Drosophila melanogaster: one gene and its partner. The protein of the gene in region 2 interacts with the protein of the main gene of each other region in a biochemical or structural test. Each region holds a gene or a part of one and is shown on either strand. Other genes may lie near its edges. The genes, in order: vih and CycD.

Region 1 (8,235 bases), on a different chromosome or scaffold from region 2:
GATGTCAATCTCTATGCCGTGGCCATCGATCAGAGGCCCTGCAATGGAACACAGAAGATCTACCATCTGGACACGATGCAGGCATTCAAGCAGAAGTTCAATATCTCCATGGAAACGCTGTCTTCAGTGGCCACTTCTGTGACTTTGGGCTCGACTGTCACCGGAAATAGCATATAGATGAAGGATATATATTAACTAAACGAATGGACAAAGCAAAATACTACAAACTGAGTAGTTGTAGTTATATCTAGGGTTAGGATATGCTATACATTTGGATTATTATTATTTTAACTTGTCAGAACATATGTTTTTTCACAATCTTTTTCATGTGTAACGATTGCCTAAAATCACATGGCAGAATCTTTTAAAAATTACTTAATTTACTCTTTAAATACTTTGTGCTGTATACACAAATAAAACTTGAGATTTTGATAAAAAAGGTAATTCATATTAAATTAATATATTTATTTTGATCACTAAAATATCGAAGCATATTAAAGGAAATATTTTTTAATTAATTAAAGAAGTCGCATAATATTTTAAATCAATTTTACTATGCAGGATAGCTTTTCGAATAGAATAGTTGGGGGCATGGAGTCGACGCCAAGCTTTTGGGGCTGATCCCACGCAGCTTTTCGGCAGCAGCTTTCAATGTCCCGCAATTCGAAAGCCCCGGAAATGGAATCGTGCTCTCCGCTGGCATTACTGCCATCGTTGGCTTGGCCGCTGGACGCCGGACTGCTGCACTGCCGCCGTCGCAGATTGTGTTAATTGATTTCAATTGGCTCCACGCCATTTGAGTGGCCCGTTGAATCTCCCGACGATGCCAGCAACGATGTTTGATTCCCAGCTGAGTTTGTGCGCGGGTCGCATTGTCGCCGATTCCACCACCACCACTACCTCCGGCATGGATGGATGCGATGGTGCCAAGACGATGATATGCCGCGCTTGTCTTGTGCTACTGGGTCCGCAGGATGCGTGTCACAATCTGGACAGCGAACAGGATCTGGCCAGCAAGTACTACGGCTGTACTGGAGAGGATGCCGTTAGGGATTTGCCACCCCAGTTGGTGCTGAAAAGCATCTGCGAGTGCTGCTATCAGTTGGTGCAAAAGTTCCACGACTTTCAACGCATGTGCGCAGAGTCCTTGCGCAATTTTGAGAAGCTGCTGCAGGACATCGACATCGGATGCCACAAACTGGAGGACCACACTTGGCACGACTTGGACACCCCCTCGGAGAGCAACGAGTCCACTAATCCGGAAGCCCAGTCGCACGCACCCTGCATCGCAGCGACGCAGGAGATTGTGAGTTTTATCTGGCCACAAGTGTGCCTGCCTCTGGCCGTAATCTTATCTAGAATCACATTGGGTGCTTCGCTCGAGGTGTGTTGCCTAGCAGCCAAGCAAAGACAATACTGCTCCCCATTCCCCGCCATAAACAAAAACATTTCGACAGCGTTTGTTTGTGTTGTACTATTTTTGTTTGGTGGGTGATAGCACTCGAAAAGGAGGCACGTCCCAATCTATTGGGTATTTTTAAATTTTCCACTAATAAAATTGGGAAGATGGCAACACGCCTCGATTTATGGCTCCTCCAAATAAGAAAGTCGATTTTAAAGGCCAGTTTTATCTAGAATAGATAAATGTGTTCCCTAACTTTCACTCATTTTAGATATTATTTATAGCGCCTTTAATATTTTTAGCATTAAAAAACTAAACTAAACAGATAAGTGACCGCCAAAAGTTCGGTTCACAAAATATTACTTTCATTTTATCATCTTCTAAGTCGAGCGATAAGATAATCTTAATAGCAAATTAAGGAAAAATTTCCACTTTAAAGTAATGAGTAAACATAATGTAATTCCTACCCTTACTACAAATTACTTAACTCAACCAAAAGCAGTTTGTTTTTATATGCTTAGACCCTTTTTACATAAAAAATTCCTTCATAATAGATATGTACAGAATTCCCACAAAAAAAAAAAAAAACCACCACCATTCAGTTTGCTATGGTAATTAAATATATAATACCCTAAATTTTCCAGGAGGAAGTCTACGTAATAGAGGACGAGTCAGCCAAACAGGATCTGGGCCAGGAGAAGCTATCCATTTCTAGCAAGTTGCTGGGTGCCAGAAAACGACGAGGAGTGCGACACACCCTCGAGTGCCGAATTTGCCACCGTGGCTTCTACAAACCGTCGCTGCTGGAGGCCCATATGCAGCAGCATGAGGGTCTGAGACCGTATACCTGCGTCCATTGTGCCAAGAGCTATGCCCGGGCCAATCTGCTGGAGTCGCACCTGCGGCAGATGCATAACAATGCCGACGCTGCGCGGATCATCTATGCCTGTCCGAGCTGCAACAAGGTGTACACAGCGAACCGAAGTCTCAAATATCACATGAGAAGGACGCACGAAAGGTATCACGAGTCAGAGTCCCCGGATGCGCGGCACATTTGTGAGGAGTGTGGCAAGTGCTTTGCGCGAAAGGCACATCTAACGCGCCACAAGATGGTCCATGGTAGCGTTGAGGGTCGGAGATACTGCTGCGAATGCTGCGATCGCAGATTCTACACCAAGGAGAACATGGTGGATCATCTGCTGCGCAAGCACGGCAATAAGAATCTGCTGCTCAGATGCAGAAAATGCGGACGCATTTTCCAGAACAGCGTGGAGCTCAACGCTCACGGGAGGAAACACAAAGCGATGGATGTAGTTCAATAATTCGTTTTATTTGTGGTTTCAATAACATCAAGCTAACACAACTGTTACAATGATTCGAATTACTTGGAATTTTGTTATGCCAGTATTGTGGGAGAATGCCGCATAATTGGAGATACTAAGACGACGCGAATGGTTGACGAATCGATGAGGCTGCCCTAAAATTAGCTAACATTCACATAATGGCCGGCGCAGCAGCATAGTCGCTTAAAAATCATCAGTACAAAAAAATGGCGATGGCGATGGCGCGCACTCGCAGTAGTTCTCAAAAAAGTAATCATGCGTATATAAAACAATTAACTAAAATTTATCCTTAAGCTTAAAGAACGGATGACAGTTTTAAAATTACATTACCAATACATTCATTTATCATTAATTTGTAGGGAGGAGGAAAGAAATGAGAATAAAAACCAGATTATCCGTCAATCGATCGACAATTACATAAGAAACGCACGGGGTCTTTTGCCAAATGAACTATCAGCATTGAACGTTGTTGAAATTGATCTGGTGATCCACTTAACTGATGGTACTGTGTTACGGTGGTGATTGATGATTGGTTTGTTGGTTGGCAGTAGGTCTTCGGATGAGTGGAGTTGCTTGCACTATATGTAAATAAATACGCCGCAATATGAGCATAGGATATATGACAACGAATTGCCAAACTCTAGGTGTCCTTGTGCTTCTCGTAGAAGGCGTCTAGATATTTTTTGTACTCCTTTTGGTCATTCCACATCATCGCGGCCTGCGCATTCAGTGGACTCTCGTTGTTCGGTTCGCCCAGCAGGGATTGTATGGACAGCAGAATGGTGCGCACATCGTACAGGGCCGACCATTTGTCCTTCAGTATGTCCAAACAGATGGCGCCCTGCAGATCAACATTGGGATGGAAGCAGGACGTCAGGAACTTCACCACGGGTGCTGCATACGGATAGGAATTGGGAAAATCCAGTGACAAACGATACGTTTGCCCCGAATACACCGTGTTCCGTGGACCCGCTATGGTGCCCACCCACTTGAAGATGTTCTCGCCGTCCGGAAACGCTGAGATGCCCCTCTCGTTGGCCATCATCAGGTTCATCAGTTCCTTGTGCAGTCTGTGGGTGAGTGTGAGTGTGTGTGTATATTGGCGGATTATCTAGGCTGCACCATGTGCTACTCACCTTTTGCTCACGGCGTGATTGTCTTTCACGGGCATGGAGTCATCGCTGTGCTTGCTGCCGCCGCCGCCTGCTCCACCACTTTGCTCGGGGCTGATATTCTGCGCCATGACTATATATCTACGTCTATATATGTAGGATGCTAGTGCTATCCGCTGTTTGGCTTTCAGTATGTGCGTGTAATTTAGCGCGCTTCGTGGCGGTCGGGTTTTCGATTCTCAATTGTGATTATATGTACTGTATAGTGGAAATTTAGTTTGATCGGTCGGAATACGCGTCTGTTGCTTTTTCAGATATTTTTTTTTTCACTTTTGTGTGAAAACAAAATGGAAGGAGAACGAGAAGAAACTGTGTTTGGGCACAGGGTTGTATTTCATTTATTTTTGGGGGGAGTCGATACGCTCTCTTGGCGTGGTCGAACGGTCACACTGGCCGAGAGATAACGGAAAATGTTTCAAAGGTAAGTAAAGATTATAAACGTATTAAGCTTAATACTATAATTAGCTTACTATTCCAAGTATGTATAATTATTACACGTTTAAAAGGCATAACGTTAAGTGTAACCAAATTATATCAATGGATTTTGAATACCAATATTATTTATTTTATATTTTGAGCTTAATATATTAAATCACATATATTTAAGCCTCTTTATATATGTAAATATTTTAATTTTATTAAAATAAATTATATATTGTTTTGTAATATGATCGAGGGCTGCCACCTTGTGATAAATGCTTACCAACACTTTTAGGTACGCCGTTTAGTGTACGTAAGTTGCGTACCTAGATATCCAGCGAAATCAAAACATTGAGTAAATCGTGGAAAATGGATGAAAATAGCTTAATCTACGGACTCGAACTGCAGGCGCGGGCTTTAACACCTCAGTACGGAGAGAGCAACGATGTGTGCTTCTTCATAGCCACCAACTCCTTGAAGCCCACCAATCAGGTTCACTTAATCCAGTACGAGGAGGAGCAGGGATCCGTGCAATCAAAGGTGAATATCTGGGATGATCAAAGTATGAGCTAAACATACAACTTTGAACAGGTCTTTGAGCACGCCCTGGGTGAAGTTTGGAAACTAAATAGTTGTCCGCGTAATCCTCGCCTGCTGGCCTCCGTCTACAATGTACAAAAGGGAGCACAAGTGCTGACCAAAGCGGCTCTGTTTACGCTGCCCGAGAATCTCAATCCCGATCCGGAGCAGCTGAAGTCAGAGTACCTGCCGTGGGAGCAGGTTGAGGTCCTGGATACCGAAGCACTGGGCGAACGTGTGAAGACCATCGAATTCCATCCCAACCAGGACACACTCGCCTGTGTGGTGGACAACAAGGTGGCTGTGATGCAGCGGGCCGAGTCCTCTACTCGCGTGGTGGCCGAGGTGCCGGCCAGTGGTTCATCCAGTGGATCTGCAAAGCACACACAGCATTTCACCAGCGGCAAGTGGTCGCATCATCATCAGGGCCACCAGTTTCTCACCCTCCAGGATGGCAATCTAAGTGCCTACGATGTGCGGGATACACAGCATTGTGCCTGGAGCATCAACGATGCGCATGGTCAAATGGTCCGTGACCTGGACTGCAATCCCAACAAGCAGTGCCATTTGGTCACCGGCGGTGACGATGGCTACTTGAGGATCTGGGACTGTCGCATGCCCAAGGCTCCCGTTTTCGAGCGCTCCGATCATTCGCATTGGGTCTGGTGCGTTCGCTTCAACACATTCCACGACCAACTGATCCTCTCCAGCTCCAGTGACTGCAAGGTGCTGCTCACGTGTGCGGGATCGGTTAGTTCGGAGACGCAGGTTCAGGCTGGACTAGATGAGTCCAACTTCAGTGGTGCCGATGCCGAGGAGAGGCACAAACTCTTGCCAGATGGTCTGCTGCAGACCTTCGATCAGCACGAGGACTCCGTTTACTGCGCGGAGTGGAGCAATGTGGATCCGTGGATCTTTGCTTCGCTCAGCTACGATGGTCGCGTCATAATCTCAAAGGTGCCCAAGCAGTACAAGTACCAGATTATATTTTAAGCCATTAGTTTCTTAAATTATTACGCATATTTCATTTAAATCTAACTAAACGAATTGTGTCCTTGTATGTAGTAGCAGGTTATACAAATATTAAACCAATAAGTTATTATATGAAGATAAATATATCGAGGGACTAAAGCTAATTAGGCTTAACCTGTATCCTCGGATGTGCAGTCGGAGGAATCATTGGGATTGGCAGTTTCCACGGAACAAACTCGCTTGATCAGCTCGTTTTCGATCTCCACAGTGCCATTGTCCACTGCCTCCTCCATCTGCACGTACTCTATGGTGGCGGCACTTTTCTTGGTGGATAGGACAGGTTTTGCGGCAGCAGGAGCAGGTGTTTCTGCAGTCTTTTTAGCCTGGGCTTCCGTATCATCCTCGGCTTCCTCAGCCAAACTGCTACGCTGCGGCTGAACTTCGGCGTAAATGGCGGGAAACTGCGACTGTAGCTTCTGCTTGATGATCCGTATCTTGCGGAATATGTAATCCAGATCCTTCTTCATTTCGCTCAGGCATTTCACGTGTCTTTTGAAATCCTCGCTGGCACTTTTCAAACGACTCTGCGATAAGGCATTGCAGTTGAGCAGCATCTCGTTGGTTTTCTCAAAGCGTTGCAGCCTGTGGGATATATTTTGGATGTTTATTATAATCTCTGGTTAAATGAAATGGCTTACATTTGCTTTTGAGCCCGTATCATGGTCTCCACATCGCCCTGATTCACCATTCCTGCGAGACTTTGAATGAAGGCCTCGGCGGCGGAGTTGCCGAAGCCAGTGAAGGATTCCAGGTCAGGAGTGGCATCCTCGGACTGGTGCACATCCGCAAGGCCCAAGTGGCTCATTGTAGCCTAGAATTTATTTGTTTATAATAAGGGAGAACACAAAAATTGATTTGTTTACTTGCTTTTCAAGGTCTCAAGGTTTCTTTGCGACAACTTGAACTCTGCTTTGTGTGCGTTTGCTGGCAGTTTTAGTTTTTTCTATTTTTATTTACGTTTTCAAATGGATCTCATGTTTCCATCTATTTTAAAAGTTCTTTTGTTTAGATTTCTTAAAAAAAAAGATATTTTCGTAACAGCTGTTTAAGTACTAGTTATAAACCAGTGCTGCAAGCTGCCAAAATGCAAAAGCACTGCCGTAATTAAATTTGAACATTTTACTTTTTAACATAAAATTAACACTGTTTTATGACAACATTTGTTCCTATTTAATATAAATCAAAGTTTCTTTAGCTATTTAAACACTTAAAAATATTTAAATAATAAAGCTTAGCAGAATGGCATTGGGTATTTTTACGCAAAGCCGTTTTGGTCACACTATGCTCACCGGCTTTTTTTTTATTAAGCGATTGAATTTCCTTATTTATTCTTGATTTAAACGTGCAAAATGAAGCTCGCTCCGACTGTTAAGCTAAACAATGGCTACGAGATGCCAATTCTGGGCCTAGGAACCTACAATGTAAGTCCTTATCATCGGCGATGCTAATAAATCAGCAGGCAGAAATTGTTTATGGAAATTTCTACCATTCAATTCCAATTAAGTGCAATTGTGAAATTGAAAGTTAATTATGTTATCTGTAGTTAAAGAAGTCTCGCTGTGAGGCTGCCGTGTGCCACGCCCTCGAAATGGGCTATCGGCATATAGACACCGCATATCTGTACAGGAATGAAGGCATTATAGGCAAGGTTTTAGCTAAACTTATTGGCGACCAGAAACTGAAACGCGAACAGGTGTTTCTGGTCACAAAGGTAGGATATAGTACAGATGGGTTATATATAGTTACCAGCACATGTAAATAGATCGAAAATCAATATCCAATTAGCTGTGGGACATATACCACGAACCCAAGATGGTGAAATACGCCTGTGATATGCAATTAAAGCTACTGGGCGTGGACTATATAGATCTATATCTGATGCATTCGCCGGTGGGCGTGGACTACATCTCTGATGAAGATCTGATGCCCCACGAGAATGGCCAGCTGAGGACCAAGTGAGTTTGGGATACAACTAAACATACATAGTTTAGATTCAAGAAGCTTAAAGAAACTGATCTTTGGAACTTATAGCGATGTGGACTATGTGGACACCTACAGAAGTATGGAGCAACTGGTGCATCTGGGGCTGGTGCGCAGCTTGGGATTGTCCAACTTTAATGCCAATCAGCTGAAGAGATTACTGGAAAACTGCCAAATCAAGCCGGCAAACCTACAAATAGAATGTCATCCGGAATTGGTGCAAGTCCCATTAATTGAGCTCTGTAAATTTCACAATATCACCGTGGTTGCCTATTCGCCACTGGGGCGTCCCAAAGCCTGCAATCCG
Region 2 (9,482 bases):
ATTAATAAATAGCTTTCGTTAACTGCATTGTGTTGTTGTTGATGTTAAACTATAAAAAAAAAAAACCCAATTAAATTAGAAAATGTTAGGTAACGCAGCGTTGAGAACATTTCAAGTCAGTCACAAAGTATTTCCTTGAACTTAAGAAGCAAACTAACACTAATTAACAACTAAAATCGAACTAATACTAAACACTAAATTCCCCCATCCATTTAACGAAAATGCACACTGCAATTACATATTGGGGATTCTAACTAATTAAGTAGGCGTTGCTTTCGCTTATCGCTATATCGTATTATGATTATGTTTATGATTACGATTTGTTCGCCATAAATTAATACGATTAATTTCTGTAAGAAACATGTTATTTGTATGTATGTACATATTCCCCATCCGGATTCTCGGATTTGTGGAATCATCAGCTGTCCCGTTTCCAAGAAACGATTAAGTTACAGGATTAAGTTAACGCTTATTTGTATTGTCCATTCCTCTTCGTATTTGTAGTTACATATTTGCATAAGTTTGGTCAGGTCAGAGGTCAAAGTACTGATTTGAATTCAATGTGAAAGCTGGTTATTTTGATTGCGATAGTTAATATTTGCGAAATTTGCTGAGATTTTTTGAGTGGTTTGTATCGATTCCCAGGAGCATACAAAGAAGAAAAAAAATTATAATAATAATTTAACACAATTACATGTATATCCATAATTATAGCCAAGTCAAAAAATATAATTTCTTTTAAATTGATATTAAACCGCTTTTTTGCCACAACAAACCTAAATATATCTATATACATATACACACACACATATATATAAATATATATATATATATATATATATGTGTAAATATATATATACAAAATACGTGTTTCCAATATTTTTATGTACAATTGTATTATTTATAATGTTGATTACAAATATATAAGTCATGAAAATACTCTTGTGACTTACTCAAATGGATTGTGACGATGGAAATATGCAACAACTTAAATTACATATGACCAGTTTACGTATACACACAAATAAAGTGCATAAATAAATACATAAATTGTTCGTATTACATAAGTGTGTATTGCTTACTGGCGGGGAATATAGTCGACTATCAGCTACCTATTGCTTCACGTTTGGTGTGTATCTCGTCGAAATCTGTGCGAAGTAGAAGTTGGTTAGTGCTAGAGGTGATACTCAATCCAACTTCGGATCAAATCCGAACGATTTGAATTTATATACATACACACATGGATACATCATATACATACACATATATACGCCGAATCTCTCAATTCAAGCACATCACATACTTCAAAAACTTAAATTAATCCCCTTGTTCATTTTCAAAGCCGTGTGTCCGGAGCTGTCGGCGGCGCCATTGTCCAGCAATCGGGAGCCAATCGCTATGTGCCGGAGAGTATGCGTGGACAGGTGAACCAGGCGGTGGGCCAGGCAGCCATCAATGAGTTGTCCAATGCCTTCAGTTCGCGATTCAAGTAATGGCCGCGTAATTGAGTGCACAGCATGCCAGAGTATGCTTAATTATTAACAGAAACAGAAACTTAGAGAGCCAGCACGCGAAACCCCTCCCCCCACCAACCATATCACATCATTTTTTTTTTTATCAAAGATGTAAATCCCAAAAAGATGGCAATTCCCATCCAGTTGTTTCGAAAATTCGATGGAAAAATTTAAAAAGTGTTTTACACATGATCTTTTGGACAATTCAACATTCAAATTAGTGCTTTCGAATTAAGTTTATCGGGGATACCATTTACTTTTTAAAGTATATTTGAACGTGAAATAAAAAAAAAAAAATTTATTTTCCAAAACGAGTATTTATGTATATGTAAAAAACAGTGCTGCTAGCTTCATAGTTTTCGTTTCCAGATGGTATTACATATATCCGTACATATATGATATTTCGAATCGCAGTGCAGGAGGCGGACGAGTGCAGGAATGCAATAAAGCCAGTATTTTTTTAAAGCTCAAAACAAAAACCGAAGAAATATCTAAAAGGAAAATCGTTAATTGCAGTGTTACAATGCTTCTACATTGATGGTAAAAAAAAAATCGAACTATGTACTCACTCTAAAAACTTGTATGAACTAAACTATCCTCAGAGCAATGAATTATATGCGAACAAATATTATTTAGCAACGCAATGTCCGCAAGAAATTATACAAAAACCTATTCAATGATAAATATTATGTGTGTGTTAAGGTTATGGTCTTTAACGATTCTTGTTTATAGACGTTTGTTAATAAGAAAATAAAGAAAAATTAAATTATTCGCATTGCCTTTAACTACTTGGATTCGTTTGGTAAGCTAATGCGATTTATCTGAAAGTAAATTATACGAAAATATACATACATCATAGAGGGCAGAGAAGAAATTGCTTTTTTCTATCATTTATTTGCCAACTTATATAATTGTTATCCAAAGTTAACTTTAACATATTGTTTTTCTCTTTATGTTGGATGGTTTTTAAAAAAATTGCATTTAATAGTTCGTTCTTTTTTGGTTATCTGTGTAGGATTTCGAAAAGCTTATATACAAAAAAAAAATGTTGCTTTGCTGCTTACAATCAGTCTCGTTTTTATGTTTCATCCATTTCAAAGTTTCATGATGATTATTTAAAACTATTTTATACAAAATATTTAGGATAGCTAAAAATAATAACCCATAGTTTGGTAAAAAATAGTTGCGTACATATAAAATACATCGATTCAAATGTAAATAGTGTGATATTGGCCAATCCTATAGTGATCGGACTATTTGGATCCTATATATAATTTCAACTTAAGCCTGACATAACTATCATGTATGCATAACTATCATTTGACACCTCAAAATGTAACGTCTTGTATCTCGTTTTGAGCCTGAGCCTGCGCCTGCATCTTGCACGTGTGCGTCCGATGTGGCGCTGCGGACCCAAAGTTGTGCTGCTGCTGGTGTTGCTCCACGCACTCGGCAGGAGCTTTCGGTAGCGGCAAGGGTCTAATTGAGATTTGCGAGAGATGCTGCGATTGATGTATTTGGAAGCGCCTCTTGTAGTATAATGTTGACATTTCTTTTGGGTCAATATTCACTAGAAATGGCTCTAGATTCCGACTGTGCTCCTTAAAGATGTCCTCCATGTGCAGCATACAATCTCGCACCTGAGCCTGTGCATTTAAAATCAATTGAGTGGTGGTACATAACAACACTGCTCCCTTGCCATACTCACTTGCTCCACGCTGGTTAGATCGGTCATCAGACTCAAAAGGAAGTGTAGATTGTGTCCCGATCGCAGATGCCACTTTAGGCCATTCATTGACGCAGCTATGCTCGATGCAGCTATGGTGCTGGCCGAGAACTTGGCAAACTTATGTTCTTCAAAGGAAGGGGTGGGAAGTCAGTACTTAAGTTGGACTGTTTTGTATATGGCTTACCTTTTGCTGCCAACGATATAAATGCCTGAGCATGTCCCCGCACTTTGCCAATGTTTATGTCCGGAAAGTTTTTGCTGCCTATCGGCAGGCGCATCATCAGAAGCTCAAGGAAGTCCAAGGGAGTCACAGATGAGAGGTCCCAGCCCAAGCGACTTAGCACATACAGCTCCCATTTCTTGGGAATGAAATGAAACCGCATGTTCACCGAAAGGTATTGTATTACGAGAAAGGTACTTACAATCAAATCATCCTTGTAGATGCTGTTGTCCGTGTAAACAACGAGTAGATCCACCGAAAGAGCACGACAGCTGGGTTCACGGAGCTTTGAAGCCAGTAAGAGGCAAGCTGCGGCCAAAATTTGTAGCTGGGTCTTGCGTACTGATTTGCTCGAAAGAAATCGATCCATGTAATTTAATGCCAGTAATACGACCTCTTCCTGGCAATTTTCCTCGGCACACACCTGTGAACATGTATTCAATTAATGAACGAAAAGGGTAGTCAAAATATTGTAATGGGTGTGCGATAAGGACTACTAAAACAAACACTAATTAATGAAGTTCTTGGAAACTTCCATCTATTTGGTAATATTTTCTAACAGATTATAAATAATGCGTATATCACAGTCGGCTAGCTTGATATGATTTGGATGCTGTATCTACATTTCGTTTAATTACTCACTTCCATCATCCATTCGGCGACAATTTTGCGCATCGGTGGCGTAATATCCTTCTGGATGCTAAAGTACGTGTCGGGAATTTTGTGGTGCTTCTCCTCGACCTTGAGGAAATTCTCCAGACACCGATCCGAATACAATGTGGGATCCCCGATGGCAGTGTTCACGTTGTCGGTTGCGGGTGGATCGGCTGTTGTGGTCAGGCGTTCGTCGAGTCGTTGGCAATGTGACGTCGGTGGCTCCTGGCTGATGTAACGCGGATAACTTTGGATTGATTGGGTCGCTGTCGGTGGTGGTGGCGGCGGTGGTGGAGGTGGCGGAGGCGGCTCCAATTGTTCTGGATTTTTCGCAGCCGAGTCCACGGACGCGTATATATACACCAGCTCCTTCATATTGCACACTACGGCATTGTTCTGGGCATCCGGATGGGAATCGGATTCCGCGTCCCCCAAGGATGAACATATCGATGATTGATCCCGAATGATCGCCGGTGAGGACATTTGCTGCTGTCGTTTGTTCAAACGATACAATGATGGATCTGATTCGTAGACTATGATTTCCGAGCATAAAAGATCCATTATATCGGCCATACGTTCCGTTTAAAGCTATGGATTCTATGGATCGCCGCACTCTCAAGCCATTTATGTGTGCCGATTTATCAGGAACTTTGGGTAACTCCGATATGGGAACACTGCGTACAATAGGAAATGATCGTACATAAGTACATACATACATATGTATGTTGCAACCTTCTTTTCACATTTAATTCAAGTATTTGCTCAAGTATGGGCACACTGCGGGCATATGTGTTTAGTCCTGTGGGAGCACTAGAGTATAGCATATAACCCTAATACCTTGACTTATTCATATGCACATTACATTATTTACATATTTTTTCGACCTGCTCAGAAATAACTCGTTCATTTCACACTATGTACTTATGTACATGTACATGCATGGCTATGTACGATCAGCTCGAGAACAAAAGTTTTCACTTACGCCTATTCTCGGAATTCTGGTTATATACAAACGGCACAGCACTTCATGGAGTAATGTAAATTAACTATTAAAAAAGTATACTCGAAGTTGCACACGTTTGCCACTTAACCGGCGTGGACAAAGCATTTATGTGAACCAGATAGTTACACCTTATGGCAGAAAAAAACTAGTTCAGCATGCCGTCATCGGAGTTATATCTCTTGCTCACTGCGATCAGTAAAACATATCGATCTTCATCGGTTATTAGTATAGTACTATCCTTTGCAATGAAAGGCAAGCGAAATACGTTGAAAAGGGGAACCTCCTCATTGCGTTTCCAACTTGTTGCTTGTGAAATATGTTTCACTTAGGGTTGTTATTAGAACATTAAAAACTTATAATCCATCAATGGGTTTGATGGACTATAAAAGGGTCTTACCCTTATAATAAAAACAAAGTTCTTCTAATTGCACTACTTTTTTTCTTAAATAAGCTTTTTGTTATACGATCTTACGAACTTACTCTTGATGTGAATTTCACATCACTCAAGTGTTCCAATTACTCCAGCAAAATCAAAAATACTAAAATATGCTAGGGCGTTGCCACCCTGCATTCATGTAAGGATGGTACTGACAGTCGATCTTTCGGCATGTCATACATTTAACGATCGTGGTCCACGACAAAATGGTCAGTAATGCAAAACTCACTGGCATCACCCTACTAGGTTGAATCGTGATCAAAACACCCTTATTAAATTCCGTTTAAATGGCCGGAACCTGTTGATTAAATGGCAGGTTGTTCGAAAGAGTCGTAAATAAATGAATGCTGCACTTAAAGATCCTGTACCGCTTACAAAAAGCATTGAACTGCTGTTATTTTCTTTAGGGTTGTACTTAAACAGTTTTAGATGACAAACAGTAAGACATGTAAGAAACCTAAAATAATTTCACTAAAAAAATTCTAAAAGCAATTGTAAAAAAAAGATATAATCTTTGCTGCTTTGTTTAATAATTAATAAGATATTGATAAAAGGGTAAAAAGCTTTCGCGACTTAGGAATGCCAGGTTAATGATAAACAAAAGTAACCTGTGGATCCCTTCCGAGAAATGATGTACCGATATATGTACACATCGAGATTAAAATGGACTTCCATGTCCATTGTCCTAATTTCGGTGCTGCAGTTTTTTGTTGTTTTTTAGGAAAAACTGCAGCGTGGAGAATGCTTTCAATGATACAATCCTTAATTGGGTTCGCATTTTGCTAACTTAGTTGTTGCAAATTAATTTACCCTCACTCTCGGCACACAGACAAAAGCTCGCTTCCCAGAAAAAGCTTAAGGATTCAGAGAAAACTTTGAAACAGCACACGAGAGTTGAGTGGAACACTCGCGTCCGCCGACTTCGCTTTCCGTCAGAGGGATGCTGTAATCCCCTGAAATTTTATATTCGTTATATTCCCGAAGAAGACAAGAGACGTGCTGTACGAAAATAATTTTTCATTCACGTAAATTACCCACACAAATGTGTGTGGAACAATTAGCTGATTCAATTGTTCTCGCCCGCCACTTGCTAATTGGAATCGAAAAGTGTCAAAGTTTCAGGAGGTTCTTTTTGTTTAATAATACTGTGTTTAATATGCATATGTTCGCGTGTGTGGTGCTCATGACATACATACATAAATGCCAACAAAGTCCCAAATATCGCATTCATTTGCGAGGGGACTTCGCAGGACGTTATAAACACCTTTATACCACATTCTGGAAATGCCAAACGCAGTGCCAAGCCCACGCAACTTTATAATAGGATATACATTGAATGAAGTAGTGCCATGAATGCCGTGCCGCATGATATTTGATCCATTCACGGAGTCGGTCCTGGACCTACAAAGTCACAATAAACCTTCTGTTTAGTGAGACAGCGTAATGTGAAAAATGTTGAGGACGTACAAGCCAGGCATTTAAATTTATTAACTTACAATAAACATTTATGTAAATCATAAAAAACCCAGTGACACAATAAGTAAATAACAAAGACCAGAAGTAACCAAGTGCTTACAAATAAGATGAATAGAGTAAAATCTATTGAGTGACACCTACGCAAAGAACGAGTGTGCTTAAGTGTAACATATACACAACATATACATCAGGTGGGCGGGTTTTGCGCATAGTAACCCCCCTCCCCCAAGCCCAAAACTTTGCATTAACTTTATATTGTCCAAAACCTAGAGACAAAAAATCATTGAGTGAATTTCATTATTTTAAAAGTTACGCCCCGCCCCCCCTCAAAAAAAGAAATATATATATAAAACTCTAGATCCGCCTTGGTAGCAAAATATGTTATACGCAAGCGCTCAATACGAAAACCTCCTTCTCTCTACCTTCCTCTCTTTCTCTTAACAGAATCGGAACAGCAGTTAGCAGAAAGCAACAGCACAGCAGCAGCAGCAGCAGCAGCAGCATCCGCTTAGCAGAGCAGCAAATGCTTCGGAAGCAAAAGCAGTAAAGCTCGCAGCGCTACTACGTTACGTGCCTATGAGTGGGCGAGTTTGTGTACATGTCTGGACATGTATTTGACAGCCTTTCCCTTTTGGCCATTGGTATGCTTCGTGTGGCTCTGTAAGTATTGTCCTCGCAACACAGTTTGTCCTGGGGGGAGATGAAGGGTATCTCTCTGTTAACGCCCACGATGCGCTCAGACCAACAGCACTTTTTGCTCAATGAAAACTTGCACACGAAAACTAGCCAATTGAGAAAATTCCCTGCTCAAGAGGGCTTAATTGTAATACGAATTTCCAGGAACATGCAATCTATAATATGTATGTGCAAGGCATCAAAGAACATGCATCGAATTGAATGAAACTTTTTTATTTAAGGATATTGCTTGCATACAAAACGTGTCCATGACTATGTACATATGTATGTATGTACATATGTATGCATGTTTTTGTAAAGCTGTTTTTGAACTATTGGAAAACCTTTTAACTCAAGACATGACCTTTGTATGTATCAAATCAGAAGCATTGCATTCAATGCTCCTTTCCTATGAAAAGTGTTGTATTTTCCAAGAACATTGCAGTGGCGTGGGAACAATAGCAAAACGTGCCTTTTGCTATCTGCTTTGAATGAGAAATAGGGGGGTTTTCCTTTAACTACTTGTAGTTAACATTCAATTCAACTTAACACGACTGAACTTGTATGATAAGGCAAAAGCCTTTGCTGCATTTTGAGCTAATTAGAAGTTAAATGGTATCGATTTAAATCCTTTGACTAGGTCTCGGTCTCGGCGACTTGACAAAAACTGCTGTGAAACGTAACGCGCCCCACTATGGAATTCACCCGACAAACGCACTGGGTCGTTGGGATTGGAATAAGCACAAGCAGCTGCACTCGGATGCCAGAATCGGACATTTAGAGGCGGGCAACGAGTCGCGGGAGGATCAGCTGTCGGAGGAGCTGAGCAAGTTCGGCGAGAAACTCTTTCCCGTCTCCAACTATCCGCCGTATCAGCAGAATAACGAGGATAGCCAGGAGGTGCATCATAGTGGAGAGGGAAGATTGCATACGATGGAATCGTCTGTGCCATCCAAGACTAGAATATCCGGTGGCACAAATTCAAACGATACTCCCAAGTTCCGGAACATTGGCGCCCAGAGGGGTAGAACCGAAATAGCCGGCATTCGCGAAACTGATCGAATCAGTTCACGTGGTCGAGATGGTTTTATAGGTGGTCCGAGTAACAAACAGAAGCCATTTAGAGTCAATCTGGCCGTTCTGGTGCAGGACGATCCCAGTCAACCGGGTGAGACATACTCCAATTGCCAGAACTCCAATGAATCCGACGAGAACTGCAATCCCGAGGAGGATGCAGTGCCGAATTTGCAAAGGGATTGCGAGAAGACCGGGATACATGTGATGTGCCCGCGAACCTTTCGATGCATTAGCAAGTATTGGCTCTGCGATGGAGATGATGACTGCGGTGACTACTCGGATGAGACGCACTGCGGAGCCAGGACGAATTGTACAGATGATCAGTTCGAGTGTCTCAACGGATTCTGTATTCCACGAACCTGGGTATGCGATGGCGAGAACGATTGCAAGGACTTCTCCGACGAGACCCACTGCAATCGCACCACCTGCACGGATGAGCACTTCACCTGCAACGATGGCTATTGCATCTCCCTGGCCTTTCGTTGCGATGGTGAGCACGATTGCAATGACAACTCGGATGAGCTCAAGTGCGCGGCGGTCATAAACAGCTGTCCGGAGGGCGAGTTCAAGTGCCGCGGCGGTTTGGGTGGAGCAGGTGGTCCCAGTGGCCAGTGCATTCTCAATCGTTTCCGCTGCGATGGCGACAACGACTGCGGCGACTGGAGTGACGAGGAGAATTGCCCCCAGAAGCCATCACT

What was found.
Region 1: of the proteins of CycD (region 2) and vih, one has a biochemical effect on the other in vitro, tested with the Drosophila melanogaster proteins (one study listed by BioGRID).

What each region holds. Positions count from the first base shown.
Region 1 is NT_037436.4:12,500,299-12,508,533, reverse strand, and holds vih (vihar), read right to left. Parts: upstream 4,243-8,235; 5' UTR 3,989-4,242; coding exon 3,882-3,988; intron 3,816-3,881; coding exon 3,386-3,815; 3' UTR 2,725-3,385; downstream 1-2,724. Other genes in the region: sti (sticky), read left to right, coding at 1-177; CG10654 (uncharacterized protein), read left to right, coding at 824-1,384, 2,047-2,724; CG10646 (uncharacterized protein), read left to right, coding at 4,707-4,877, 4,929-5,909; CG10681 (uncharacterized protein), read right to left, coding at 6,059-6,530, 6,587-6,753; CG10638 (uncharacterized protein), read left to right, coding at 7,298-7,369.
Region 2 is NC_004354.4:15,904,432-15,913,913, forward strand, and holds CycD (cyclin D), read right to left. Parts: upstream 5,246-9,482; 5' UTR 4,679-5,245; coding exon 4,106-4,678; intron 3,888-4,105; coding exon 3,666-3,887; intron 3,603-3,665; coding exon 3,428-3,602; intron 3,369-3,427; coding exon 3,223-3,368; intron 3,161-3,222; coding exon 2,843-3,160; 3' UTR 2,391-2,842; downstream 1-2,390. Other genes in the region: shi (shibire), read left to right, coding at 1,343-1,493; Lrp4 (LDL receptor related protein 4), read left to right, coding at 7,641-7,692, 8,348-9,482.